Linked DNA regions of Arabidopsis thaliana. Each later gene encodes a partner of the first gene's protein in a complex. Each region holds a gene or a part of one and is shown in the gene's direction. Other genes may lie near its edges.

Evidence for each region.
Region 2: MYB3R-4 (region 1) and RBR1 share a complex: the UniProt entries of both Arabidopsis thaliana proteins name them as parts of the DREAM-like complex.
Region 3: MYB3R-4 (region 1) and E2F1 share a complex: the UniProt entries of both Arabidopsis thaliana proteins name them as parts of the DREAM-like complex.
Region 4: MYB3R-4 (region 1) and ATE2F2 share a complex: the UniProt entries of both Arabidopsis thaliana proteins name them as parts of the DREAM-like complex.

The regions. Positions count from the first base shown.
Region 1 is NC_003076.8:3,677,857-3,685,389, forward strand, and holds MYB3R-4 (myb domain protein 3r-4), read left to right. Parts: upstream 1-1,891; 5' UTR 1,892-2,219; intron 2,220-2,463; exon of another isoform or gene 2,464-2,536; 5' UTR 2,537-2,595; coding exon 2,596-2,648; intron 2,649-2,774; coding exon 2,775-2,829; intron 2,830-3,068; coding exon 3,069-3,126; intron 3,127-3,217; coding exon 3,218-3,312; intron 3,313-3,426; coding exon 3,427-3,530; intron 3,531-3,637; coding exon 3,638-3,766; intron 3,767-3,874; coding exon 3,875-5,612; coding exon of another isoform or gene 5,613-5,777; intron 5,778-5,824; coding exon 5,825-6,084; intron 6,085-6,177; coding exon 6,178-6,292; intron 6,293-6,422; coding exon 6,423-6,608; intron 6,609-6,735; coding exon 6,736-6,828; 3' UTR 6,829-7,028; downstream 7,029-7,533. Other genes in the region: AT5G11500 (coiled-coil protein), read left to right, coding at 33-160, 300-403, 515-602, 789-850, 938-1,090; ASP3 (aspartate aminotransferase 3), read right to left, coding at 7,401-7,485. UniProt on the Arabidopsis thaliana protein: Transcription factor that binds 5'-AACGG-3' motifs in gene promoters. Involved in the regulation of cytokinesis, probably via the activation of several G2/M phase-specific genes transcription (e.g. KNOLLE). Required for the maintenance of diploidy.
Region 2 is NC_003074.8:3,913,332-3,921,106, reverse strand, and holds RBR1 (retinoblastoma-related 1), read left to right. Parts: upstream 1-1,747; 5' UTR 1,748-2,219; intron 2,220-2,659; 5' UTR 2,660-2,673; coding exon 2,674-2,757; intron 2,758-2,872; coding exon 2,873-2,977; intron 2,978-3,063; coding exon 3,064-3,206; intron 3,207-3,285; coding exon 3,286-3,382; intron 3,383-3,468; coding exon 3,469-3,515; intron 3,516-3,782; coding exon 3,783-3,975; intron 3,976-4,106; coding exon 4,107-4,173; intron 4,174-4,259; coding exon 4,260-4,439; intron 4,440-4,539; coding exon 4,540-5,595; intron 5,596-5,690; coding exon 5,691-5,853; intron 5,854-5,951; coding exon 5,952-6,024; intron 6,025-6,145; coding exon 6,146-6,322; intron 6,323-6,415; coding exon 6,416-6,535; intron 6,536-6,617; coding exon 6,618-6,750; intron 6,751-6,842; coding exon 6,843-6,955; intron 6,956-7,063; coding exon 7,064-7,179; intron 7,180-7,261; coding exon 7,262-7,436; 3' UTR 7,437-7,758; downstream 7,759-7,775. Other genes in the region: AT3G12290 (Amino acid dehydrogenase family protein), read right to left, coding at 1-11, 120-332, 440-597, 771-954, 1,403-1,516. UniProt on the Arabidopsis thaliana protein: Key regulator of entry into cell division. Acts as a transcription repressor of E2F target genes, whose activity is required for progress from the G1 to the S phase of the cell cycle.
Region 3 is NC_003076.8:7,358,584-7,365,013, forward strand, and holds E2F1 (E2F transcription factor 1), read left to right. Parts: upstream 1-1,951; 5' UTR 1,952-2,165; coding exon 2,166-2,348; intron 2,349-2,818; coding exon 2,819-2,981; intron 2,982-3,112; coding exon 3,113-3,169; intron 3,170-3,250; coding exon 3,251-3,336; intron 3,337-3,415; coding exon 3,416-3,504; intron 3,505-3,598; coding exon 3,599-3,653; intron 3,654-4,111; coding exon 4,112-4,164; intron 4,165-4,238; coding exon 4,239-4,289; intron 4,290-4,366; coding exon 4,367-4,415; intron 4,416-4,502; coding exon 4,503-4,568; intron 4,569-4,648; coding exon 4,649-4,722; intron 4,723-4,807; coding exon 4,808-5,078; intron 5,079-5,208; coding exon 5,209-5,278; intron 5,279-5,394; coding exon 5,395-5,537; 3' UTR 5,538-5,922; downstream 5,923-6,430. Other genes in the region: AT5G22210 (aspartyl/glutamyl-tRNA (Asn/Gln) amidotransferase subunit B), read left to right, coding at 966-1,208; OFP10 (Ovate family protein), read left to right, coding at 6,106-6,430. UniProt on the Arabidopsis thaliana protein: Transcription activator that binds DNA cooperatively with DP proteins through the E2 recognition site, 5'-TTTC[CG]CGC-3' found in the promoter region of a number of genes whose products are involved in cell cycle regulation or in DNA replication.
Region 4 is NC_003070.9:17,632,777-17,638,337, forward strand, and holds ATE2F2 (winged-helix DNA-binding transcription factor family protein), read left to right. Parts: upstream 1-1,920; 5' UTR 1,921-2,160; coding exon 2,161-2,394; intron 2,395-2,655; coding exon 2,656-2,842; intron 2,843-2,953; coding exon 2,954-3,013; intron 3,014-3,097; coding exon 3,098-3,183; intron 3,184-3,382; coding exon 3,383-3,471; intron 3,472-3,559; coding exon 3,560-3,614; intron 3,615-3,782; coding exon 3,783-3,835; intron 3,836-3,927; coding exon 3,928-3,978; intron 3,979-4,057; coding exon 4,058-4,106; intron 4,107-4,186; coding exon 4,187-4,252; intron 4,253-4,338; coding exon 4,339-4,409; intron 4,410-4,499; coding exon 4,500-4,614; intron 4,615-4,706; coding exon 4,707-4,781; 3' UTR 4,782-5,033; downstream 5,034-5,561. UniProt on the Arabidopsis thaliana protein: Involved in transcriptional repression. May act by repressing E2F-regulated genes in mature differentiated cells, but is not an antagonist of E2FA.

The DNA.
Region 1 (7,533 bases):
AAGCTGCTAAAAGTAATTTTCATTTGATGCAGGTTTCACGTGGATAAAATGTCGTCAGCTCATGTTTACTTGAGGCTTCATAGAGGCCAAAGTTTTGATGACATTAGTGAAGGTGTGCTGGAGGACTGTGCTCAGCTTGTGAAAGCTAACTCCATTCAAGGTAATCTTTTTTTCTACCTGTCGTGAACTTAACATTTGCATAACCATTAGTCTTAGAGTACCAGTTTGTTTTTTAGAAGGAGGGCACATATAGGTTTTTTCTGTTTTCTTACCGACTGGTGTCTGGGATTATGTGCCAGGCAACAAGGTGAACAACGTTGATGTTGTGTACACTCCGTGGTCCAACTTGAAGAAAACTGCCTCCATGGATGTTGGTCAAGTTGGTTTCCACAATTCAAAGATGGTAAGCTTCTTCATCTCTAAAGAAATTTTGGTTGCGCATACATAAACTGCTCAAAGTATGGTTGTAAAGCTTCGATGATATTGATACCTAACTCATATTTGTTTCGTTCAGGTCCGGACTATCAGAGTGGAGAAGCGAGTCAATGAAATAGTTAACAGACTGAACAAAACAAAAGTTGAAAGAACCCCTGATCTGAGAGGTTAGTATTTGTTTTGTGAGCTCTTCCTCAGATTCTAATAGGTAGAAGATTGATCATGCATACATCTTTCTCGTTTAACAATTTTCCTGCTGATGAAGTGTCAGTTAAGTGTCTGTAGTTTTTCCAGTCAGTATAACTTCAAGATCTATGAAAATAATTTGATTGTTCATAACTGTGTTGATGAAGCCGAGAGAGAAGCAGTGAATGCCGCAGAAAGGGCAGAGAGGAAACAACATCTGAGGGAGAAGGTCAGTGTCTGTTTTTGGTCGTTATCATCTTAAACGTCTTTGATTAGGGTTTTGACTGAAATCCTCGGTTGTTTCTGGATTTTGCAGAAGAAACGTGAAGAGATAGATAGGCTTGAGAAGGAGAGGCAATCAGAGATGAGGAGTTACAAGGGACTAATGGTAACTGATAAAATGACATCCAACAAAGACATTGCTTCAAGCAACAAATCGCTTCAAGAACTTGAAGACGATTTCATGTAAAAGCTCTGAAGAAATGAGAAACAAAACAAACCAAGTCGGTAACATTCTGCCAGAGATGATCTGGTACCGTCCTTCAAAGAAGGCTTATGATGTTCTACTCGCCTTAACTATGATGTTGATGGTTGTCCGGTTCTATGTTTTCTTTAAAAAAATCTTGAATACCTAAAACCCTAATCTGGTTCTTGGACTCCTTGGTCCATTGAAATGTTTCAAAAGGATTGAATCTGATCTGTGGGAAAAAGGAGAGCATTATATTCTATATATGACACAGGTGAACCAGTGATCTGGTGCAATTATGGTTTACTCTGCATTGCTGTGTAACCTGAAATTTGTTTACTACCCCATAAAGCTTCATGTGTTACTCTGCATTGGGTTGGGTTTTGGAATCACTTTATTCTTGACCATAGTTGCTATTGTTAAAACTTGCGGGTTGAATTTAAACAGTCCTGTCTCGTGATTGCAGTGGGTCTATCGGGTTATTACTGTAAGTTAGCGGGGCTAGTCACTAGTGCTTAGACTACTTTTTTTTAGCGACCATAGTTGGCTTGTTGATGATATATGATTTGAAATAATTATGGTGGCCCCTAAAGTGATTTGAATCAATAATCCAACTGTTGGTGTACTTGGAAATCTAAGGGTATTAAATAAATCTGAGTGAAAATTTGAAAAAAAGGGAAAAAGAAGGGAAAATAAAGGATAAGAAACTAAATAATTATGTCCGTTAAATACTAAAAAAAGATAGGAGACACGTGACCGAAAATATTTAAAATGGACGGCTGAGATTAAGACTGAGAGCCGCTCAAAAAAAAAAAAAAAAAAAAACCAAACGTTATTGACTTGTATAGGGTTTGTTGAAGAAGGAGACTTTAACATTTTTGAATTTCCGCCAGTCTTGTTTTGAAATAGCTCTGCCGACCGTTTAGATTTCTCTCTTTTATCTATCTTCTCTGGGAAAATTTTCAATTAATCTCTCTTTATTAACTCAGATCGTGAACATTTATCTCCGATTGGAGGAGATTTCTAGTTTTTGATTGGATTTACTTTGGGCATTTTGGTCTCTCCAGTTTCTGGGTATCGTCGTTGTCTCTCTCCGATTTATGAACCACTTCCATTTCTGAAGCTCGCATAGGTTTGTTTTATGACTCCATGGTTCTATATTTGAATCTAGGTTGGTTTGGGTATGATTTGATTTTGAATTTATTGTCTGCTTGATCTAAATAGTTTGCTCTTTTTAAAAATGACTGCGAACAAAAGTTCACAATTAGTAGTCATTGTAATTATTTTCAAGCTTCGAGTATGTTTTGTCCTGATTAGCGACCGACTTTTTTTGGAGCTGAATCCTTAGTGTTTTTTTTCTTTACAATTTATCTTAGGAAGATTGTGAGATGGTACAAAGGAGGGAATAGTAGTTTTGAAATATAATGTTTTGGAGTTACAACATTGCAGAGAAGAAAGGCAACGTATGGGAATTGGGGTGACTATTTTTGCATTTTCATTGACTAGTTATGGAAGCTGAGTCTTCAACCCCTCAGGAACGGATCCCGAAATTGCGTCACGGGTATGCTTCTTTTTTTCTCATATCTTACTAACTAATAAATTGTTAGCTTGCCACAATATCCTACTAGATTGACATGTTTGTCACACCTAGAATTGAGTTGCATGACCAATTGTGTGGATTTTACAGGAGGACTAGTGGCCCTGCAAGACGTTCAACTCGAGGCCAATGGACAGCTGAGGAGGTGAAATTTATGTTTCCATCAGCTTCTTCTTATAAGTTTCTTTCCAATCCTATGTTCATGTAGCCAATTAATCTGGTCTCACGTTCTTGATATATGCAACAAAACTCTGCCCTGTGTTTGTTCATTTGCATGATATCATTGATCATGAGAGATACAAGAAGTAGACATTTGGATATATGCATTTTTACATTCTATGATCTGCATATTTGCTAAATCATTTTAACCAAACATATTCTCAGGATGAGATCTTGAGAAAAGCTGTCCATAGTTTCAAAGGAAAAAACTGGAAGAAGATAGGTTGACATTCTTTCCTTTCTATATTCATTTACTGAAGTGAACTGTAATCTTCCTTGTCTAAATGCATGTCACATCTTTTCTTAACTCTCAGCTGAATACTTCAAGGATCGAACTGATGTCCAGTGCCTCCACAGGTGGCAAAAGGTCCTTAATCCTGAACTTGTTAAAGGGCCCTGGACGAAGGAGGTGACATAGTTTTTTCCTCCACTATTTCTATAACATGTGCATCTTGCACTGTTTGCTTTGAATTTGCAAACATCTCTGATGACTGTTTATTGCTCTCGTTTGACATGTGTGTAGGAAGATGAAATGATCGTTCAGTTAATCGAAAAATATGGGCCGAAGAAGTGGTCCACTATTGCTCGATTTTTACCTGGCCGTATTGGAAAGCAATGTAGAGAGAGGTATGCTTATAGAGACAGCTATTTCTCTAACAACAGTGTTTTACTAGCACTATATAGTTTTTGTCCTCTTTTCAAGATTTTAACTGTGAAGGCTGTTACTGATATAGGTGGCACAATCATCTCAATCCTGCCATAAACAAAGAAGCTTGGACTCAAGAAGAAGAGCTGCTTCTGATTCGTGCTCATCAAATATATGGTAATAGATGGGCTGAGTTAACAAAGTTCTTGCCTGGAAGGTACTCATTTCTATTGTTATTTGAAAAATCATCGTACATATTTATTCAATCTTAAAGGTATTCTTCTATTTGTTCTAGCAATATAGTTTTCTGCTATGTTATCAACAGGTCGGATAATGGAATTAAAAATCACTGGCACAGTTCAGTCAAGAAGAAACTTGATTCCTACATGTCGTCTGGCCTTTTGGATCAGTACCAAGCCATGCCTCTAGCTCCTTATGAGAGAAGTTCTACATTACAATCAACTTTTATGCAAAGTAATATAGATGGAAATGGCTGCCTAAATGGACAGGCAGAGAACGAAATAGACAGCCGTCAAAATTCAAGCATGGTTGGCTGCTCACTATCTGCAAGAGACTTTCAAAATGGAACTATCAATATTGGGCATGATTTCCACCCCTGTGGAAACTCTCAAGAGAATGAGCAAACTGCGTATCATTCAGAGCAGTTTTACTATCCGGAATTGGAGGATATCTCAGTCTCCATCTCCGAAGTCTCTTATGACATGGAAGACTGTTCACAGTTTCCTGATCATAATGTCTCGACTTCTCCAAGCCAGGATTACCAATTTGATTTTCAGGAACTATCAGATATATCACTCGAGATGAGACATAATATGTCAGAAATACCAATGCCATACACCAAGGAGAGCAAGGAATCTACTCTGGGAGCTCCAAACTCCACATTAAATATTGATGTGGCTACTTACACCAACTCAGCAAACGTTTTGACACCTGAAACGGAATGTTGCAGGGTACTTTTCCCTGATCAAGAGAGTGAAGGGCACAGTGTTTCTAGATCTTTGACCCAAGAGCCAAACGAGTTTAACCAGGTAGACCGTCGAGATCCTATCTTGTATTCATCAGCTTCAGACAGACAGATATCAGAAGCTACAAAATCTCCTACGCAGAGCTCTTCTTCAAGGTTCACTGCAACGGCCGCCTCAGGAAAAGGAACTCTTCGGCCAGCTCCCTTAATCATATCACCAGACAAGTATAGCAAGAAGTCATCTGGATTGATATGTCATCCCTTTGAGGTAGAACCAAAGTGCACAACAAATGGAAATGGTAGCTTCATATGCATCGGTGATCCATCAAGCTCCACTTGTGTTGATGAAGGGACCAATAACTCCAGCGAAGAAGATCAATCATATCATGTGAATGATCCCAAAAAGTTGGTTCCAGTGAATGATTTTGCTTCTCTGGCAGAAGATAGGCCACACTCTCTACCTAAGCATGAGCCAAACATGACAAACGAGCAGCATCATGAGGATATGGGGGCATCATCAAGTCTTGGTTTCCCAAGCTTCGACTTACCTGTTTTTAACTGTGATCTTCTACAATCTAAAAATGATCCTCTACACGATTATAGCCCACTTGGCATACGCAAGCTACTGATGTCCACCATGACGTGCATGAGTCCCCTTCGACTGTGGGAATCTCCCACTGGGAAAAAGACGTTGGTTGGTGCACAGTCAATCCTTAGGAAACGGACCCGTGATCTGCTGACACCGTTATCTGAGAAAAGAAGTGATAAAAAGCTTGAAATTGATATAGCAGCCAGTCTGGCAAAAGACTTTTCACGTTTAGATGTGATGTTTGATGAGACTGAGAATCGGCAATCTAATTTTGGAAATAGCACTGGTGTCATCCATGGAGATAGAGAAAACCACTTTCACATTTTGAATGGAGACGGTGAAGAATGGAGTGGCAAGCCTTCTTCACTCTTTAGTCACAGAATGCCAGAAGAAACCATGCATATCAGAAAATCGCTTGAGAAAGTAGACCAAATTTGCATGGAGGCAAATGTCAGGGAAAAGGATGATTCTGAACAAGATGTTGAGAATGTAAGTCTCTTTCTTTCCTTTAACCATTTGAATATAAGTTGTGCTACTGGTTTACACAAACTCAGTTCCTTTAGATTTTGTCGCCAATCATGTCATTTTGTCACCTGTGTTAAAATCTTCATTGTTTTGGTGAGTTTTAATCGTCATTGTAGCAATAGATTGTAGATGTAACTGACATACATAACCTTTATGATGGATCAAATCTTATGCAGGTTGAATTTTTCTCTGGTATTCTTTCTGAGCACAATACCGGTAAGCCAGTCCTGTCTACTCCTGGTCAGTCAGTTACTAAAGCAGAGAAGGCGCAAGTTTCAACCCCAAGAAATCAGTTGCAAAGAACTCTCATGGCTACGTCTAACAAAGAACATCATTCCCCTTCAAGTGTTTGTTTAGTGATTAATTCGCCTTCTCGAGCGAGAAACAAGGAGGGTCATCTTGTTGACAATGGGACAAGCAATGAGAATTTTAGCATGTACATCTATACCACCCTTACTAAAATATTCCTTGTCCTCTTTTTGCTTTCATTTCTTGCTACAATGATTTTGTTTCTTCTTTCCATTTACAGATTCTGTGGAACTCCATTCAGGAGAGGTCTTGAATCTCCCTCAGCCTGGAAATCTCCATTTTACATAAACTCTCTCTTGCCCAGCCCAAGGTTTGACACAGATTTAACTATCGAGGTACTTGATAATGCCTTAAGATCCTTGTATCCTATATTCAACATTTTTACTTCATGGGTGCATAATTTCAAATTCTTTTAATATATAGACATGTTATCCTTAGGCAACTTAATTGTATTTATTTTTTCAGGACATGGGCTACATTTTCAGTCCTGGGGAGAGAAGCTACGAGAGCATAGGAGTGATGACACAGATAAATGAACATACAAGTGCATTTGCAGCTTTTGCAGATGCAATGGAGGTTTCAATTTCACCTACTAATGATGATGCGAGGCAGAAGAAGGAATTGGATAAAGAGAATAATGATCCTCTACTGGTATATATACATACTCTACAAATCATTCACTCTCTAAGTAGACGGTTTTGAGATTATAGTTCTAGAAACAAAGAAAAATGTTTTGTGCTCCATTGATTTTGTGTTTTGAACATTTCTCAATCTATAGGCGGAGCGTCGAGTGCTGGACTTCAACGATTGCGAGTCTCCAATCAAAGCAACAGAAGAAGTCTCATCCTACCTCTTGAAGGGATGTAGGTAAAATGCCAAAAGCTTATACATAATATGCAAAATGCACCATACATGAACAATGTATAAATATGTATGTGCATCTTTTATGAATTATCCCTGGCTGGATCAATTTTTTTTCTCTGTTTCTTTTTAATGGATCAATTGGAGTGAATTTATGTAGATTCTGTGTTCAATATATATATACATATTTCATTTGCCTGCAATGAGTACACGTCCGTATACTCTGTGAAACGAACCAACTGCAGTAACTTATTCTTGTTCTCTGCTAGTTTAATCTAAATAGTTTCTGCAATTCCGTCATATGCTAAAACCTCAGATTCTACATGAACTGTATTCAAGTTCACCAGCTTAAATCTCAAATGTTTTCTCTTAAACATTTGACTCTATAAGAAACCAAAAAAGAGTTGTAAGCAATAGTAGAAGAGAGAGCACAAAAGCTTTCTTGCGTACTTTATTGATACTGGGATGAAACAATAATAATAGTAACGACATTTATCTTGTCACTGCCGGAAATGCTATAATAGAAAGAAAAGAACAAAATCTTTATTATGAAGCTTTGGTGTCATGGTGGTGTTCAGTTTCTCAGACGGCTTTGGTGACAACAGCATGGATAGCGTCTGCAAGGTGAGGTACAGTCTTCGAACTCAGACCAGCCATGCTTATCCTCCTTTGGTTCATTTATATCAATCATCACACACTAAGTTAGACAAAATTC
Region 2 (7,775 bases), on another chromosome or scaffold:
TTGCCCTTAATCTGAAATGTCAAAACGATAGTATATTTGAATTGTAAACTATTCACATTGATCTACAAGAGGTAGACTAAATTATCTTCTAAATGACAATGAAAATGTATGAAAATCACCATGTGGGCTTGTCCGCATGCAGCAATAACAATGTCAGCTTCCCGTATGATAGCCTCAGGATCCTTGGTGTGAGAATGTACAGTTGTGACAGTAGCATCAGCCTTGAGCAAAAGAAGTGAAACGGGCAAACCAACAATGTTACTCCGACCTACAACAACTGCTCGTTGCCCCTTTATCTTTACGCCGCTTCTAGCTAGGAGTTCCAAACATCCCTGCACACACAGAAAATCACCTCATAGTTGATACAGAAGAAAAACAGAACACTGAGATTTCTCGCTTGAAAGAGACTGAAGTCTATATGCAAAAAAAGGAGAAGTACCTTTGGGGTGCAAGGAAGGAAGAGGGGTTCTCTGCCTTTCATGGCTAGCTTACCAATATTCAAAGGATGGAAGCCATCGACATCTTTATCAATGCTGATTGCACCCAATATATGCTCCTCATTAATATGTTTCGGCAATGGGAGTTGAACTAATATGCCTGCAAATCAAACACCAAAGCTTATATAAGCACAGGAGAGCAAGGAATGTTTGCTTTATACCAAAACGAAAGACTTGCATAGACATTAAAGTTTCTATCTATCCTTAATAGTTTAGACTAATGATAACCGAGAAGACATACAAAATCAAGTATTATTTACCGCCACAACTAACCATGGACATCCGGATTTGAATTTAGTTCATGAACTTTGCTAATAAGATCAGCTTCAGAAACTTCCTCTGGTAGGCCCACGTCAAATGACTTAATCCCAACCTCAGCGCACGCTTTCCTCTTCGTATTCACATAGGTCTGTGAATCCTTTCGGCTCCCAACAATAACTACAGCTAGTCCTGGGACCTGCATGAAGGTAAAATCAGATTCGATTGAATCTCGTACATTCTTGAAACTATATAAAGGGGTCCAACTGAAGCAACTGAACAAACGCACTAAACCATTTATTACACATACTCTCGTTCCTTCTATTTTATTACAATGATATCAAACATTATAAGCTTAGCACACACTATCTGTATAAATAAGATAGTATGCCACTTGAAGTAATGCAGGCAGCTCAAAAATCCAGCGAAACAAAATAACAGTGATCTAACTAAAATGGAGCTTACATTTGACCCTGTTAAGCATTTTCAATAGAAGGTTGTGATCATAGCTGCTTAAATCTAGTCATTTTAAACCATAAAGCTAAAAGAGAGTAAATTTTCAATAGTGCTATCATCTTATAAAAGAACGGAGAATTATAAGGAGAGACATGTCAAGATTAGGACACTGATTCATAAGATGCGTTTACCTTGCCGTGTTTCTCAGATAGACCGCGAACTTCCTCGGCGATCTCTGATCTGATGGTATGAGCAATCGCCTTGCCGTCGATTATCTTCGCCGTGTGATCAGATGATGACGCCATGAGCCACTAGGAATTTGCCTCGTGTCGGAAATATCTAATTCTCTCTCTGGATCCACTCACACTCGAAGATGACGAAGAAGACTTAATCTGAATCCATCCGCGGATAGGACACTCATACTTCTGCAACCAAACGTTCTACAATGGCAAATATGTAATTTCCCGCGTGACCTAAACTAGAAACGGCATCGTATTAAGGGTGGGCCCAATCATAACTCACACGAGGCTTTGTCGCGGTCACGAAAACCCAGACGGCGTTAATGGCCCACTCCGTTTGTTTCGACCCCGCCGTGACGGCGAATCTTTCCCTCTCAGCGTTTCACGCAACAGTAAGTAAGTTTTGGCGGTAAAATTGGGTCACAGATGGGTACGTGTCGATTTAATAGTGGTTGAAAGCGCGCGAATATAATTGTATACGTATGTGTATGTATTCTCCGTGTTGTTTTTCCCGCGCGAGATATATCCTTTTTTAGGGTTTGCCGCATAATCAGACCCCATTCTAGAGAGAGAAGAGGGAAGTCAGGTGAAGATAGAGAGAGACACTGAGAGGAGGGAAAATTTGTAGGGTTTTCGGAGATCTCTGTGATTCCTCTGAATTTGTCGAATTTTTTGGAGGAGGCGTTAGAAGTCGGGCTTCTTAAAAATCAGATCTTCTGCTCAGGCTTTAATCGGCGACGTCTGGTATTGGGATCTGTGACACAAAAAGGTAAGATCTTTCTCTATTGCCTATCCTTTGATTTGAAATCTTATCCTCTAGGTGGTTTATCTGAAATTTTCTATTGATATTTCGCTATTCGATTGTAAGTTGGTGAGAGAATTCTCCAAAAACAAAAAAGAGAAAAACTTTGAATGAATATTTAAGATAACATCTGGGTAAAATTTTTCCGGAGTGGTGGGTTTTAGATTATGCCCCAATTTCTCTTCTTTTTTTCCCCCAAATTTTGTCTTTCTGCCATGTTTTGGGAAATTGGGAGTTTGTTTTCTCATGTCTGTTAGTGTGTTCTTCCGAATGGGTTGGGCATGGTTCCTATTGAATTTCAGTGTGATTAAATTAACAAATCTCTTTGCTTGAAAAGTCCCTTTTTCTTCGTCTTCAGTTAGCAGTTTAATTGGAAGTAAAATTAGCTTGATTTTGCATGTTTTCAGCTGCGTTGGAGACTATGGAAGAAGTTCAGCCTCCAGTGACCCCGCCCATTGAACCAAATGGGAAAAGAAGCGAAGCCTCTCTCTTGGACATATGCGAGGTTTACTCTTCTCTTTGCTGATCTAGTTGCATTTGTTTAGTTGAAGATACCATTTGAGTTCTCTCGGAAATTTTGAGGACTAGCTCTAATCCCTGTAGTTGATTTCTTATTGCAGAAAGTTCTGTCTCTTGATGGGAGCACTTGCGATGAAGCTTTGAAGTTGTTTACAGAAACCAAACGAATTTTGTCAGCAAGCATGTCTAACATTGGAAGTGGAACGGTGAAATACATTTTTCCTCTAACTTCTCTTTTATCAGTTAACTGTGGTTTCATTATGACTAAATCCTTTTTTCTTCTTCTTATTAGCGGGAAGAAGTAGAGAGGTTCTGGTTTGCGTTTATTCTCTATTCAGTGAAGAGGCTTAGTGTGAGAAAAGAAGCGGATGGTCTGTCAGTGTCTGGTGATAATGAGTTTAATCTATGTCAGATACTGAGGGCTCTGAAGCTAAAGTAAGTAGTGTTCAATTCTTCCTTCCTTGTCATTCTTAAATTCATTTGTAGTGACGATTTTCCTCTTTTCTGTTTATAGTATTGTGGATTTTTTTAAAGAGTTACCTCAGTTTGTGGTCAAGGCTGGATCTGTACTGGGTGAACTTTACGGCGCAGACTGGGAGAACAGACTTCAGGTTTTGACTAACATCTTTTAAATATACTTCTACTTCTATTATATCATTGTTAAATATGCTTCTATTAACTAATTTTTACTTACTAGGCAAAGGAGGTGCAGGCTAACTTTGTGCATCTTAGCCTTCTAAGCAAGTGAGTTTAGCTCCCTTCCTATTTTACATTTATCTTTGTTTTGTGTAAGAATAGTTATTGACATAGATTTCATATTTTGGACCTGCAACTTAGAAGCAAATTTTCTTCCTATGCAATAATCAGAATATGGGCTTGCAATATTCCTTCAATTTTAAATTAATTAAGATTTAGAGTTACAGATTTCTGGTTTTCATGTGATTATATTCTGTGAATTGTTTTAAGGACATGTTAAAGTATGATGTTTTTGGTACCTTTCCTTGGTAACAGATACTACAAACGTGGGTTCCGGGAATTCTTTTTGACATATGATGCAAACGCAGAAAAGAACTCAGCAAACTCTTCTACCTATTTGCTGGATAGTTATCGTTTTGGATGGCTACTCTTTTTGGCACTCCGAAACCATGCGTTTAGTCGATTTAAGGACCTCGTGACATGCTCAAATGGCGTAGTTTCTATATTGGTTAGTGACTACCTGTGGAGCTCTCCCTAATCTTTCATTCATTTTAGTCTTGCTGTACATTATTACTTGAAAGATGCTTCGTTTAATATAACGCAATTGAAGTATAGGCTAACTCCTTTTCATGTTATCAGGCTATTTTGATCATACATGTTCCTTGTCGGTTTAGAAATTTCAGCATCCAAGATTCTTCTCGCTTTGGTGAGTGTTTATCTTTTCTTCTATCCCGATAACCATGGCACCATAGAATGTTTATCATCTATTTTCATTTATGTGATGAATCTCAGTTAAGAAAGGTGACAAAGGTGTAGACTTGGTTGCATCACTTTGCAAGATATATGACGCCTCAGAAGATGAGTTGAGGATAGTAATTGACAAGGCAAATAATTTGGTAGAAACCATACTGAAGAAAAAGCCATCTCCAGCATCTGAGTGCCAAACTGACAAGCTAGATAATATTGACCCAGGTTGGTCTAAAATCATTTTCCTTCTTCAATTAAAGAATCATGTGAGTTCATTGAACAGTTGCCTGATTGTTCTTCGAATCTATATGGTGTTTTACTGCAGATGGCTTGACCTACTTTGAGGATTTACTGGAAGAGACGTCCATCTCAACTAGCTTAATTACACTTGAAAAGGATTACTATGATGGTAAAGGCGAACTTGATGAGAGGGTATTCATCAATGAAGAGGATAGCTTACTTGGATCTGGAAGCTTATCTGCAGGAGCTGTTAATATTACTGGTGTTAAGAGGAAAATTGATGCTTTGAGCTCACCTGCAAGGACATTTATAAGCCCACTTTCTCCTCATAAGTCGCCTGCTGCTAAGACAAATGGTATTAGCGGTGCTACCAAGTTGGCAGCAACACCAGTGAGCACAGCAATGACAACTGCCAAGTGGCTCAGGACTGTCATATCCCCGCTTCTGCCAAAACCTTCTCCTGGGTTGGAACATTTCCTTAAATCATGTGATAGGGATATAACAAATGACGTCACACGAAGAGCACACATAATATTGGAAGCTATTTTCCCAAATAGTTCCCTTGGTGCCCAATGTGGAGGTGGAAGTTTGCAAGCTGTTGACCTGATGGATGACATATGGGCAGAGCAGCGCAGATTAGAAGCTTGTAAGTTATACTACAGAGTTCTTGAGGCAATGTGTAAAGCAGAAGCTCAGATTTTGCATGCAAATAATCTGAACTCTTTATTGACAAATGAGAGGTTCCATAGATGCATGCTTGCTTGCTCAGCTGAATTGGTACTGGCTACCCACAAAACAATTACAATGTTGTTCCCAGCTGTTCTGGAGAGGACTGGGATCACAGCCTTTGATCTCAGCAAGGTAATTGAGAGTTTCATACGACATGAAGATTCTCTGCCTAGAGAGTTGAGACGACATCTGAATTCACTGGAGGAACGGCTTCTAGAGAGTATGGTATGGGAGAAAGGCTCTTCAATGTACAATTCTCTGATTGTTGCCAGGCCATCGCTTGCATTGGAGATAAATCAGCTCGGTTTACTAGCTGAACCAATGCCATCTCTGGATGCAATCGCAGCACTTATTAATTTCTCTGACGGAGCAAATCATGCATCATCTGTACAAAAGCATGAAACTTGTCCAGGTAGTTTTATTTGTTTCTGAATTAAAGCAGTTTTCCAACCTGTTGTTAATGGTATGATTTTCTTACCAAAAATTGTCAAATTTGCTGCCATATAGGACAAAATGGGGGGATTAGATCGCCCAAAAGATTATGTACTGATTACCGCAGCATTCTAGTTGAACGCAATTCCTTTACATCACCAGTAAAGGATCGTCTGTTGGCCTTAGGCAACGTTAAATCCAAGATGCTGCCACCTCCGTTGCAGTCTGCATTTGCCAGGTACATTTTGAGTAACTATGAGTAGAAATGGAGAGTTAGTTTACCTATCTAGTTGTCCCTGTACTTGTTAAGTAACCTCTTCGGATTTATGTCTACAGCCCAACACGGCCCAACCCAGGAGGTGGAGGAGAAACTTGTGCAGAAACTGGAATCAATATTTTCTTCACAAAGGTAGGTCTGTGAGATCTTTGGATCTACTACTAATCGTTTGGTTAGATGATGTACTACAAAACACGGTATTGATTCTTCATTTTCGGCTGGGAATTGTGTTAAATGTGGTGGCTCTTCCCAGATTAATAAATTGGCTGCTGTAAGAATCAATGGAATGGTGGAAAGACTACAACTTTCACAGCAAATAAGGGAGAGTGTGTATTGTTTCTTCCAACATGTACTTGCTCAGCGGACTTCTCTTTTATTCAGTCGACACATTGACCAGATCATTCTCTGTTGCTTCTACGGAGTGGCCAAGGTGAGTAGTGTGATTCAAAGGGTTTAACTATATGTCATCTGGTTTACAATGGCTTCTCTTACACTTACACTTTTTCCATGAATCACCTTGTAGATATCCCAAATGAGCCTGACTTTCAGGGAAATCATATACAACTACCGGAAGCAACCACAGTGTAAACCATTAGTTTTCCGCAGCGTTTATGTGGATGCGTTACAATGTCGCCGTCAAGGGGTATATATACACTCTTAACCTTATGCTGAAAAGTTTCTTTACTCGGTGGAGAAGACTAAATTTGTGACAATGACTTGAACAGAGAATAGGGCCAGATCATGTTGACATCATCACATTCTACAATGAAATATTTATTCCTGCCGTAAAGCCGCTGCTGGTGGAGCTAGGTCCTGTAAGAAACGACCGGGCTGTGGAAGCCAATAATAAGCCTGAAGGTAGTTAAGAAAGGCCAGATACTTGTTAGATGTAAGCTTTGTCTATCAATTTAGTCCCTAAGTTAAATGATCGTCTTATTTTGGATTCACAGGTCAATGTCCCGGATCGCCAAAGGTGTCTGTGTTTCCAAGTGTTCCAGACATGTCCCCTAAAAAAGTATCTGCAGTGCACAATGTTTATGTTTCTCCTCTTCGGGGATCAAAGGTAAAGAAGATCATAGTGCTTAACTCTTTATCATGATATGACTAAGTCTTGAGGAGGAGGTAGGTGACAAGATTGTTTGGTTACCTTCCATGTGTTGTGTGTTTGCAGATGGATGCTCTTATTTCACACAGTACAAAGAGTTACTATGCTTGTGTTGGAGAGAGTACACATGCTTACCAGAGCCCTTCAAAGGACCTATCTGCCATCAACAACCGCTTGAACAAGTAAGTAGAAAAATCACGTCTCTCATCAGCTTCTTCCATAAAACCAATCACTGACCCAATCCAATTTCATCTGGTGTCACAGCAGCAGCAGCAACCGCAAGAGGACGCTAAACTTTGACGCAGAAGCAGGGATGGTCAGCGATTCCATGGTAGCAAATAGCCTTAACCTCCAAAACCAAAATCAAAACCAAAATGGAAGCGATGCATCGTCCTCAGGTGGTGCCGCACCCCTTAAAACCGAGCCAACAGATTCATAGATATCTCTCTCTACTTGCTACACCAACTTCTCTTCAGTTATAGCATCTGTAAATCCTTATGTTGCAGAGTTTGCTTTTATGTTTAGCTTTCTAGTTTATAGTGATCACCTCAGGCTATGAGCGGATGGATCCCTTTATTGTTTCTTTTTTCTTTTTTTATCTTAGTTAAGTCAGTCTTAATAAGCATTAATAAATGTCTTTTTCTTGTTCACTCTTTCTAACTGTGTTCGGTGTCCCATCTACTAAATTTATTTTCCACTTTAAAAAAAAACAATTTGTGACATTTACTTAACTTGGAACATATACAGTACAGTTAAGCAATTAACTATAACCAACAAA
Region 3 (6,430 bases), 3.7 Mb from region 1:
ATATTCGTCAACAAACTTAGTCACTTTGCAACTAAACCCACACTTGTAGTCTCTGTAGAGTGTAGTTCACCTTTTTGAGCATTCGTCGCTATGTTTCCACATTTAAACCATAACAGTTGGCCCAAAGAAAAAGTGAAAGCTAATGGGCTTTTTATGTTACTAGGCTTAACCCAGAAAATGACATACAGCTAGCGATACGACATTGGTTTAGCTCTGCAAAACGCTCTATAGTGTCTGTCTGGTCAGAAATTCTTCGACTCACTTTCGGTTTCTGATGTTTTGTCTCTCTGATTGAAAAAGGTAAAATCTCTTGAATCTATATCATATCGCTAAGCTTAATTTGCTGGCTAGGATTTTACCTGATTTTTTGGGTATATAGTGATGATAGAAATTTGAAGTAATTTCTCCAGTTTTCTCATTGATTTAGGGGTTTTAAATGTAGACTTAGTATTCATGAATGAGTTGATTTCTAATTGATATTATCATGTTAATCATCTTGAAGAATTGACCTTGAATTGGTGGTTCATAGATGTCTCATCTTGTACAATTTATTTGCTCGAGGATCTTATGATTCTTGGACATAGTGGAACAAAGATAGCTTTAAAAATGGACGCTGAGATGATTACTTGGTTGATGTATAATAGTTTGGTCTCTTAATTAAGGTTTTGATGGTCCTTAAGGTTAGTGTATAGCTTCTATAGAACTTTTTAGTCTCTCCTTTTAGATGGTTATGACGAATTGACGATTGTGTTATTCACGAGATAATTTGCATCCGAACATGTAAATGTTACACACTTGCAATATTGGTGTGCATGGAGAAATTATAGATTGTGTTAAGTGTTAATCCCAAAATGCATCTGCTAAAAGTGTTGCATAATCATCTTGTTGACTAGATAACTTGTTTTTGTGGTTTGGACAATGTGACGATACTATATATGATGTATGTAAAGATCGGGTTTTGCAAGATGGGAAACAAAGCTACAACGGTGAAAGAAGAACGCGAAGAGATCCATTTGAAGATTGTACCTCCATTGGACAAAGTTTTTCTGCGTTGGCTCGCAAGAGATCTCCAGAGAGTTCATGGATTCAAACCGAAGAACAACACTCGTGCGATCACTCCTCCAGATAGCTACATCGAGTTTATGCGGTTAAATGGATCGCTTGATGTAGATTTAGATGACCCTGATCTTGCCCATTTGTTCAAGTAAAAAGGGGTTCTTCTATTGTTGTCTCTGTTTGTTATGTATGAAGCTTTCAAAGTCTTAGTATCTTTTTTGATTACTCATACAGTCATACTTAAAGCTTGTGTTTTGGAAGCTCAGTCTATAAATATATATTATCTTCTCTAAACAGTATAGCATTCATAAGAGATCCAAGTGTCTGCATTCAGACGACACATGTTTCTATTGTCTTGGTGCTATGATTTGGAATCCCTATGTTTCGAGGTTCCATTTAAAAAAGTTGTTAAATGATGAGACACTCATGAGCATAATTTTCATCAATATAGTTTTGCCTCACCTATGAATTAAAAACAAAAAAACGTATAAGTTCGACAGATTTTGACGATAATTGCTCACACTTAACGCGTGTAACGGATGCTGCAACAGTTTGATGAAATTATTATGCTCCACTTCTTAACATGAATAAATCCAAAATTCATTTTTTTCCCCTCAATCTCAAGGAAATAAAACTGTATCCAAATTAGTTACATAGCTTTATTAACTTCGTTGACTTTAAAAAAAAAAAAACTTACTTAAAATTTTATAATTTTGTATTATATATAAAAATAGGATTATTATTATTTAGTAGAGAGATATTGGTAAAAAGATTTGTGTACAAAGAGAGAGATAAAGAGCGCTAATTCCCTCCACATCAGTATTCAGAACCAAACGCAACTCATTCCCTCGTTTTCTCTCTTCCTCTTCCACCGTCTCTTTTTTTTTTTTTTTTTATAATCCTTCCTCTTCTTCATCTTCTTCTCCTCTCCCGCTTTTTTTCGATTCGCCGATCTCTTCACATTCTCTTCCCGGAATCTCCGTAATTCCCGCCGTAGATCTGCTTCTTAATCGTTATTGGGATCTCTGCTTACCGGAGATCCGAGTTTCCGTGACAATTTTCGCCGTTTCTTTTTTTTTTTGGGGGATTTTTTATCGAGATTCGTTCTTATGTCTGAAGAAGTACCTCAACAATTCCCATCTTCTAAGCGGCAGCTTCATCCTTCTCTTTCTTCTATGAAGCCTCCTCTAGTTGCTCCTGGTGAGTATCACCGGTTTGATGCGGCGGAGACTCGCGGTGGTGGAGCTGTTGCTGATCAGGTTGTCTCTGACGCGATTGTGATCAAATCTACTGTAAGTCTTTTTTCTTCTCAATTTTGCTTGTGAATTTTGCTTTATAATTCTCGTGTTTTCGATTGTGTGTGAGGTTTGGTTTTATTGATTATGATTTTGATGATGTCGTTGCTTTAGATTTTGATGAGAATTGTGTCGGGATCTGCTTCTGTTGGTGTTAATTGCGTTTGGTCTCTTTTGATTAACCTTGTTTGTAGTATTGGAATTAGCATTGCAAGTACTTATTGAGTAGTTTAGTTGCTGGACTTAGGGTTTGTGGTGTTACTGTTATTGCTATTTAGAGCAGATTCATGCACTTTTGTGTTTATGTTTAGTTAAATTAGTTTCTGAATTTTGCTATGTTGGAATTGGTAAAAGTTGTGTCTATGCTTTTAGATTTCAGCATAGTGACAGTATGATGCTGATAGGATTTGATTCTGTTCAATTCGTTGATGTATTTAACTGTTCAATTTTGGTGACTTTATTGGCAGCTGAAGCGTAAGACAGATTTGGTAAACCAAATAGTTGAGGTCAATGAATTGAATACCGGTGTTCTTCAAACACCTGTATCAGGGAAAGGGGGGAAAGCCAAGAAAACTTCTAGGTCTGCGAAGTCTAATAAGTCTGGAACGCTAGCTTCTGGCTCTAATGCAGGTGAGTTTGGTTCTAAATGCTCTGTGTTAGTATGCCAATGAGAAATATTTCTTATGTGCTCATCTGAGCTAAATCTTCTTTAAAGAGTGGAGATATTGCAATGTAGTGAGAAGGATCTTTTGTGTTGGCAGGTTCTCCTGGAAATAACTTTGCACAGGCCGGTACTTGTCGATATGATAGTTCGTTAGGTAATAACTTATTTCATTAACTAATGTTTAAAAAATGTACTTTTGGATAATAAGTTTTTTTAATGATTTAATCTGCTTCAGGTCTTTTGACAAAGAAATTTATCAATTTGATAAAACAAGCAGAGGATGGTATTCTTGATCTAAACAAAGCAGCTGATACTTTAGAGGTGACATATTTGAACTCTAGACTCCCATATTGATGTATTACTTTCTGTCAAACTTAGCTGTATGTTCCTGTTGATGCAGGTACAAAAGAGAAGGATATATGATATAACCAATGTGTTAGAAGGAATAGGTTTGATAGAGAAGACGCTTAAGAACAGGATTCAGTGGAAGTAAGCATGTCTTAGAACTGTCAAATCTTGGATTCCTTCCATTTGATGACTCATGTGTGAGCGACAGTACTCTGAATTTTCTTGTCTGTCTTAGGGGTCTCGATGTCTCAAAACCAGGAGAAACAATCGAAAGCATAGCTAACCTACAGGTACAGAACATGCCTATATATTCTTTACCTTTTCATTGCACATTTCACTGCGAACTCTGTTATGCAATGCTCAGTATTATCACCAGTTTTATTATTGTTTTCACGTTAAGGGTATATCTTAGCTTGCATTGTCTTCTTGAACATCGTATGAATCTGCATTAGTATGATTCTTGTTATGCCTGTTTTCTGAGAGCTAAATGTGTTAGGAGGTAACTAGGATACTAGTAAATTTACCATACACACAAACATCGATGACATGTAACCACAAGCTCTGTTTTGTATACCCGTACTGGCACCTTTGAATGATGAGTTTCTGTTTTATGTTTGAACCTGTTGAATAAGTGGAAATTGGTACTGCAGTTTTTCTTCGATCTCAGTCACTTGCATTGATTTCTTGTTTTGGGTTTTTGGTTCGAAAAACTATTCATGTTTTATAATTCCTGTTACCAATCTTACAGGATGAAGTACAAAACCTCGCAGCTGAGGAGGCAAGATTAGATGACCAAATCAGGTATTTTCGCAGATAATTTTCCTTCCCTTTTCTGCTGTTTTGTATCATCTTTTTGAGAGTCGACCTGGTTGCAGAGAATCACAAGAAAGATTAACAAGCTTGAGTGAGGATGAAAACAACAAAAGGTAAGCGTCCCCTGCTATTTCTTCTGCCGAAAGGTACAATAAAACATATCTGTTTGTTCTGACGCTCCACTTTTTAGGTTACTGTTCGTCACTGAAAACGACATTAAGAACCTACCATGCTTCCAGGTCTGGTCTCCTTCTAGTAATTACGTGTTTCTCTTTGCCTTGCATTCTTCTCACTGGGGAAACATGTTTTTGTGGTGCCTATTTTAGAATAAGACGCTGATAGCTGTAAAGGCACCGCATGGAACAACTCTTGAGGTTCCAGATCCTGATGAGGTAAGCTTAAGAGCGCACAAAACCAAATGAGCGATGCACTGTCTGTAACGATTCTCACCTCTTATCCTGCCATTAATCAGGCTGGTGGTTATCAGAGGAGGTACAGAATCATTCTGAGAAGCACAATGGGACCAATAGACGTGTACCTAGTCAGGTAACACTGTCCTCAAACGTTATGCTTGCCCTGGATAAATCTGTAACATGGAAGTGAGACTGACATTTATATTGTGCTTTTTTAGTCAATTCGAAGAGAGCTTTGAGGACATTCCTCAGGCTGATGAACCTTCAAATGTTCCTGATGAACCCTCTAATGTCCCTGATGTACCTTCAAATCTTCCATCAACATCTGGTCTCCCTGAGAACCATGATGTATCTATGCCGATGAAAGAGGAAAGCACCGAAAGAAACATGGAAACACAGGAAGTTGATGATACGCAAAGAGTTTACTCTGACATCGAATCTCATGACTTTGTCGATGGTATCATGAAGATTGTTCCTCCAGATTTGGATGTAAGTCCCAACTGCTTCCTCAGCTTAAAATTTTCACCAATGTACATAATCACAGTCTGGAAAAGTAACCATATCTAAAAAATCATGCTTGACTTAATTCATATTTACCTGTATGTTACATTATATACAGATGGGTGTAGATTACTGGTTTCGATCAGAGGTAGGCGAAGTCAGCATCACAGACATGTGGCCAGATGAATGTATCCTTGATTTCTATCACTTTCTGTGATTTAATCTAATCTCTCTTTGAGCTTTTGAGTTTTTTCCTCCCCAAATATGATATCTGTTTAGAGCTCCTTGACTCTTTCATCATTAGCTGGACCAGACTGGAACCAGATGATTACATTTGATCAAGACCACGCTGGACCGAGCGACAACAAAATCTTGGAGCAGCCACAAACTCCATCGAGCCCAACACCAGAAGAATCCACTGCTACGAGATCACCTACAGGTAGCTGAAGTTACCATACCACATTACAAGCACCACCATATATCTGTACATAGAATCTGATTTCGGTGAAACCAGAGTTAATGTTGTACTTGTACAGTAGCTGCATTGCATTATCATAGAATAGAGATTGCAAAATAAAAGTAGAGAAACCAACCCCTTCGTTGTATTCTTCATTTTTTTTCTTTGTTAGCTTCTCAGGCTTAATATAGAATTAGCCTTAGCCCATTGATTTCTTAATATTGGTCTTGTTCATGTGAAACTGCAAAACCTTTTAGAGTTGTAGACGGGTGCTTAGTAGTTTTACATGCTCCATTTCCGGTTTACCAAAAAGGTAACCAGATCGAAACTAAAACATATTTCCGTTCATCAAAAATCTTGACGAAAACATATTGGTTCGGTTGTGGTTTGAGAGATTTCTTTTTGGTTCAAATCGGTTTCTATGTCCAATCCTTTGATATCACTCGAGATAGTTTCTTACAAATGATATCATATATAACTTTGAATTCACCTCAAGATGGTATTATTTTCCTTAAAAAAGAAATCCATCAAAATTGTGCATCTCCAAAGCAATGAGCAATGCTGAATCTCCAAGCTAAGTTAAATGAAAAAAAGGTTCCTCTTTTAACAAACTTTCCCACACCAACATCCTCACTCAATAATCTCAACTTGTTTTCTCTTCCTCTAGTAAAAAAAAAAATGTCTTTCAAGAAGATGATGAAGTATATACTCAAAACCATATTCAAACCCATTTTTATGGCATGCGGTTGCGGCTCTACCGTTCCACCTTCCTCTCACAGCCACTACACCCCGGGACCACCGGTTTCTCCCACGGTTTTACGCAGCCCATGTCCTAAGATCGATGAGAGCGTCGCGATGGCTAAAGAATCAATCAATCCGTTCG
Region 4 (5,561 bases), on another chromosome or scaffold:
AACTAAAATACAATTGCAATCCTGTAAAATATTTATTTTAATTATTTATTTAAATTAGCGGTGTACGTCTTTTTTTTTTATAGGACAGGTTTGGCGAGACGGGTTTGGAAGAACGTTACTTAATAAGAATTATAAAATATAAAATAAAAATATTTTATAGATAGATATAATTTTCAAACTTTTATATATACTAATTTTAAAAAAAAAAATCTTCATGGTGTACTACGGGTTAAAATCTAATAGTTGTAGAAAACTCTTAAGCCTAAGGAAGTTAATTACCTAAATGGTAGGAGTTATAATAAAAATAACTTCTTACCAAAAAAACAACGTTAGATAACTTGTAAGATCACTTTTAGAGGCTATAAATTCCTCCTCACCTTTTCTTTTGTATAAAAGTAGAAAAAAGGAACCAAAGTAAACAAATAAAAATGCTATCGACTATTGTAAATTCTTTTTTAGTGTTTCCATATTTTTTTCATTTTTTATTTACTGTTTTTTTCTTACTGCACCATGACAAGTGAAGTAGATTTCGCGTTAGTGCACTTGAAATTTAGGACAACAAAAATGCAACTAGACAAACTTTTTCTGTATGAATATCTAGACGAACTTACATTTATATGGATAATCTTGTTTTGTTTGTTTGTCACAGTTAAACTAAAATATAATATAATTTTTCTGATCCATGGCTACAATAAATTTTAAAAATGTGGATAATATGTCTTCACAAATATTTTTCTAAATAAAATACTCTTTCTTTTTTTTGGCTAAAAAGTTGTCACATGCCATAGGGACGAAAATGTGTGTTTTACATTGTTTGGTACACCAATGTTTCAGTCTCTCAGATCTAAACTAATGGAAATTACGTTGATTTAAGCCATCATGATATCATGAAGGGATTTTTTCTCGTCATATTTGTCCAGTTTTACGAAAACAAGTTAAGGTATCAAACTTATGCGATACGAAAACTCTTTGAAATAACTCAATTATATTTACATTCCTTTAATATGTTTTGTTTATTCAAAATCATGATTAATTAATTCAGTATTTTGAATTCCTATTTTTGTTACATGATGCAATTGGTAATAATACAATGAAAAAAAAAACAGTCCCTTGTGTAGCGCTATACACCAAGTTTGTGTGTTTGTCGTCAATGCACCCATCGCTTCCTTATAACCTAATATAGGTTTTGATTGGTAACCACTTTACAAAACGGTACTAAGCGTTACAAAGTTTTACTCTTAGTTTATTGTACAGCTTAATACCTGTAGTAGAGTTAACAACTTTTGGTTACCAATCAGACCCATAAACATATATTAAGATAGACAAAAAAACATATATACATATATAGTACGACTTCATAAAAGATGGTATAATTTTCACATAATTTGATATTAATTAGATATCACTTACTCAAGTACTCAACTATGCAGAAGCACTCTTCATTCTTCAATTGTTTTTATGAAAATATTAAAGAAAAAAAGCTAGAAAAATGATACCAGAGAAACAAAATGAATCATGGGTTTAGAAATTCATTCTAATTTCTACCTTTTGGCAAAGACCATGAACTCTAAACTACTTTTTGGTATGATAACTGGACCAAATTTGGGCCGTTCATAGAGTTTATTGGTGCAGATGGACCTCGGAGATTAGGACTCCCCTGTAAACTCAATCTAGCAATGCCGAGACTCCGTATTTATAGATTCGTGAACCATGAATGTCGATCATTAACATAAAGCTACAAAGTATGAAGCTCTAGAAGATATGTAAACGTCGTAACATTATTAAGCCCAATTCAAGCCCAAGACCAAGCCCAAGACCAAGCCCAACAAATAGTCAAAAGAGTAAAATAATAAGCGGAAGAAGTTAGGCGGGGCTTAGGCAGAATTCGAAACTCTCTCCAACTTCTTTCGCCCACCGCTCTTTTAACATAATTCCAATATTTCTTTCTTATATTAATCTTTTTAATACAACAAAAAGACACTTTTACCCTTCCTCTTCTTCCCGCTGTTTCCTCTCTTCTCTCTCCATCTTTTTCTCCATCTTCCCTCTTCTCCTTCTTCATCTTCCCCCACAAAAACCTAAATCACGATTCTCCAAAATCGCTTCAAAAAATCACTCTAAATCCCATCTTCTCTACCACCGGAGATACACCGCCGTTACATGGCCGCGACATCAAACTCAGGCGAAGATCCGACTCTCTCTTACCATCACCGATCTCCTTTTCGCTTCGAATTACTTCAATCTATCTCTTCCTCTGATCCTCGTTACTCTTCTCTAACTCCTTCTTCAACGAATCGACCTTTCTCAGTCTCTCAATCGCTTCCGAATTCACAACTGTCTCCTCTAATTTCACCTCACTGGGACGATTCTTACTCTCAAATCACTCAGAAAGTTGTGAGTCTCTTCGTTTACTCAAGTCCTCGTAGATTCCTTCTTTGATTTTGATTCCATTTCCGAACTTGATTTTGCGATAGCTAGGTTTAATTCTGATTCCCAAATTTCGCGAAAACAAAAATTGAATGAAGTTTGGTTTCATTAAGGGAAACTTAATCCAAAATTGGATCTCTAGCTTTCAATTCTCTAATCTCAATTTGCGAATTTAGATTCGTTTTGGTGATTGTAATGCTATTGAGTTGATCTTTTCTTAATTTGCAGCAGAAGAGTAGAAAGAATCATCGAATTCAGCTTGGATCTATTGCCAACATGTCTGGAGGAGAAAGCATAGATATAGCTAAAGTAATAGTGAAACAAGAGTCGTCTCCTCAAAATGTTAAACGTGTATACAACAAGTCAAAGGGTGGTACTAAACTGTTAAAGGCTGGGAAACGAATGGCGAATGGCGGTATCTGCTTTTTCTGATCAATCTCTTTGGCTAGCTCTTAGAATGTGATATGTATTGAAAATAAGAATCTGTTTGTATTCAGCATTGTTGTGAATGAGTTTTTTTGTGCAGAAGTGCAAAATGGTGGCTTAAATGGAGCTAGTATTAACTGCCGTTATGACAGTTCTTTAGGTAACTAATAGTTCTGTTTACTAAGGTTCATGTTTGTATGGAGATAACAACTGTAATTGTATCGGTGTCTCTTTTGTTTGATAGGGTTGTTGACAAAAAAATTCGTGAAGTTGATCCAGGAAGCTGAGGATGGAACACTTGACCTTAACTATTGTGCAGTTGTTTTGGAGGTATGCTAAATGTATCTTAATATTTAAGTTAAAAATGTATGTCTCAACTCGTAGAAGATCTAATTAAGAACGTGGACTAAAAAGATCACTCACCTTTATAACCCTTGCCTTAACTGTTTGATATCTCCCTAGTTATCTTCATCAGCTTGTTAGGATCTCCTCTTATGTGCTTACGTGTTCCTGCGATCCCTCTTAACAGGTACAAAAAAGAAGGATATATGATATTACAAATGTCCTTGAAGGAATTGGATTGATAGAGAAAACTACAAAGAATCATATCCGCTGGAAGTAAGTACACAAATTTTTTCTTTCTTGGATACATTGCAGCGTATATAGCTTGAGTTCGTCTGACTTTGTGTATGCGCTATTGATGCAGGGGTGCTGACAATCTTGGACAAAAGGACCTGGGAGATCAAATTTCTAGGCTTAAGGTTCATTGTGACAAGCATTTTCACGTGTTTTCTTTGTCGTAGAACTTACTGCTATGCAAATAATCTGTCAAATTCATGATTTCATTATTTTTCTGTCTTATAGTTTATTTCACACAGTTATTTTCAAATTCCCCATTACTGACCGGTTACATATCTACGTATTTTCAGTCAGAAGTAGAGAGTATGCAATCTGAGGAAAGCAGGTTGGATGATCTTATAAGGTTGGTTGCTTGTGTTCTTATATTATGTTTGGAGACTTATCCATTGTTCCTTTCCCACATGGTTTGAAGATCATCATGTTATGTATCTCCAGGGAACGACAAGAAGCTCTCAGATCCTTGGAGGAAGATGACTACTGTAGAAGGTATTCGTCAGTTTATTTGAGTTTCATCTTTTTGTATATACACGAGAGTGTTGCTAAGATCAATGATGGAAATAAACAGGTACATGTTTATGACGGAGGAAGATATAACGAGTCTCCCACGGTTTCAGGTCCTCCCCAACTAGTTCTTGAAAATCATCTTATGTTTTCCTCAGTTATTTAACATACTAAACTGGTAGTCCTTATACAGAACCAGACATTACTAGCAATTAAAGCTCCTACAGCTAGTTACATCGAAGTTCCAGATCCTGATGAGGTGAGCGTTTTTAATGCTTTCATATTTGCTGTACAGTTGTAATATAATGTGTCACAAAGTAAAGCATCTGTTTTTGTTCACGATAGATGAGTTTTCCGCAACAGTACCGGATGGTGATTAGGAGTAGAATGGGGCCGATTGATGTCTATCTTTTAAGGTACTTAGTTACACATTCCACTCTCTGTGTCTGGTCTTATCTATATATTTGTCAGTCAGTGTTAATAACTGGGAACAAACATGATCGCAGCAAATACAAAGGAGACAGTGCGGAAACAAGCGACAAGTTGGGTAATGAGTCTGATCAAAAAGCTCCAGTTGGAGTAGACACTCCTTCCTTGAAAATAGTAACTTCAGATACTGATGTAAGTATTTAGATCCACTGATATGGGTTTTGGGATCAGTCTCGCATTTCGTATGTTGCGATTAAGTTGAATTTTTGGTTGTGTATTGCCAGTTAAAAGCAGATTACTGGTTCGAGTCAGATGCAGAGGTGAGCCTCACAGATTTATGGAGCAACTTCAACAGCTGAGAAACAAAGTTGTTTGAAACCTCAAATTCCCAATTACTAGGATGAGGATGAATTTTCTGTTACATTTTACTACCCCTTTTGAGCCTGAAATCCTAATAGATTTTTTTCCTTATAAAAATAAAAGATGCAATATTTTAAGGTCATTCAAGGGATGTGGCAATTATGTGAAAAAACTTGTACTCTAATTAGATATATAATTATACTTAATGGCCTTTTGCATGTCAATGCATACATCTGTTTTTGTAACATGTGTTTATAATGAACTTTGAAATTAATCTTTTTGACACTTTGGGTCCATAGGTTACAATTTGCATGTTCAAACAGAAACAAAGCATCATTTACGAACCACCTGATTTGGACAATATCAAACGTTACTTCTGTCAGAATCATGTCAAAAAACGAATGGTTCCAAATTGAAAACTAGTTAATCTCTCATCTTGTTACATTTAGTTTCAAAGCTCGAAGTCTTGAACGCTAGTAGAGAAAAATATCTTGTGGAAAAGAAGTATCAACTTTACAAAGCTTGATGTCATTCATGAGTTAGATCATATCATGTTTGATGTCATTCATGAGTTAATCATGACCACATTGGACATTGATATCTTGGTGGATCCCTAAATATGGTGCTTGTTTGGATCCCAAGCAATACTTTTCGTTAAATGGCATAACTCTTGCCTAGAAGTAACTGCCTAAAACAGTAAAACGTACCCTAAAAAAAAAGGAATGCCTTTCAGAGGATAATTTTCCTAATATACATTGTTGGATATAATTCTGCTATAT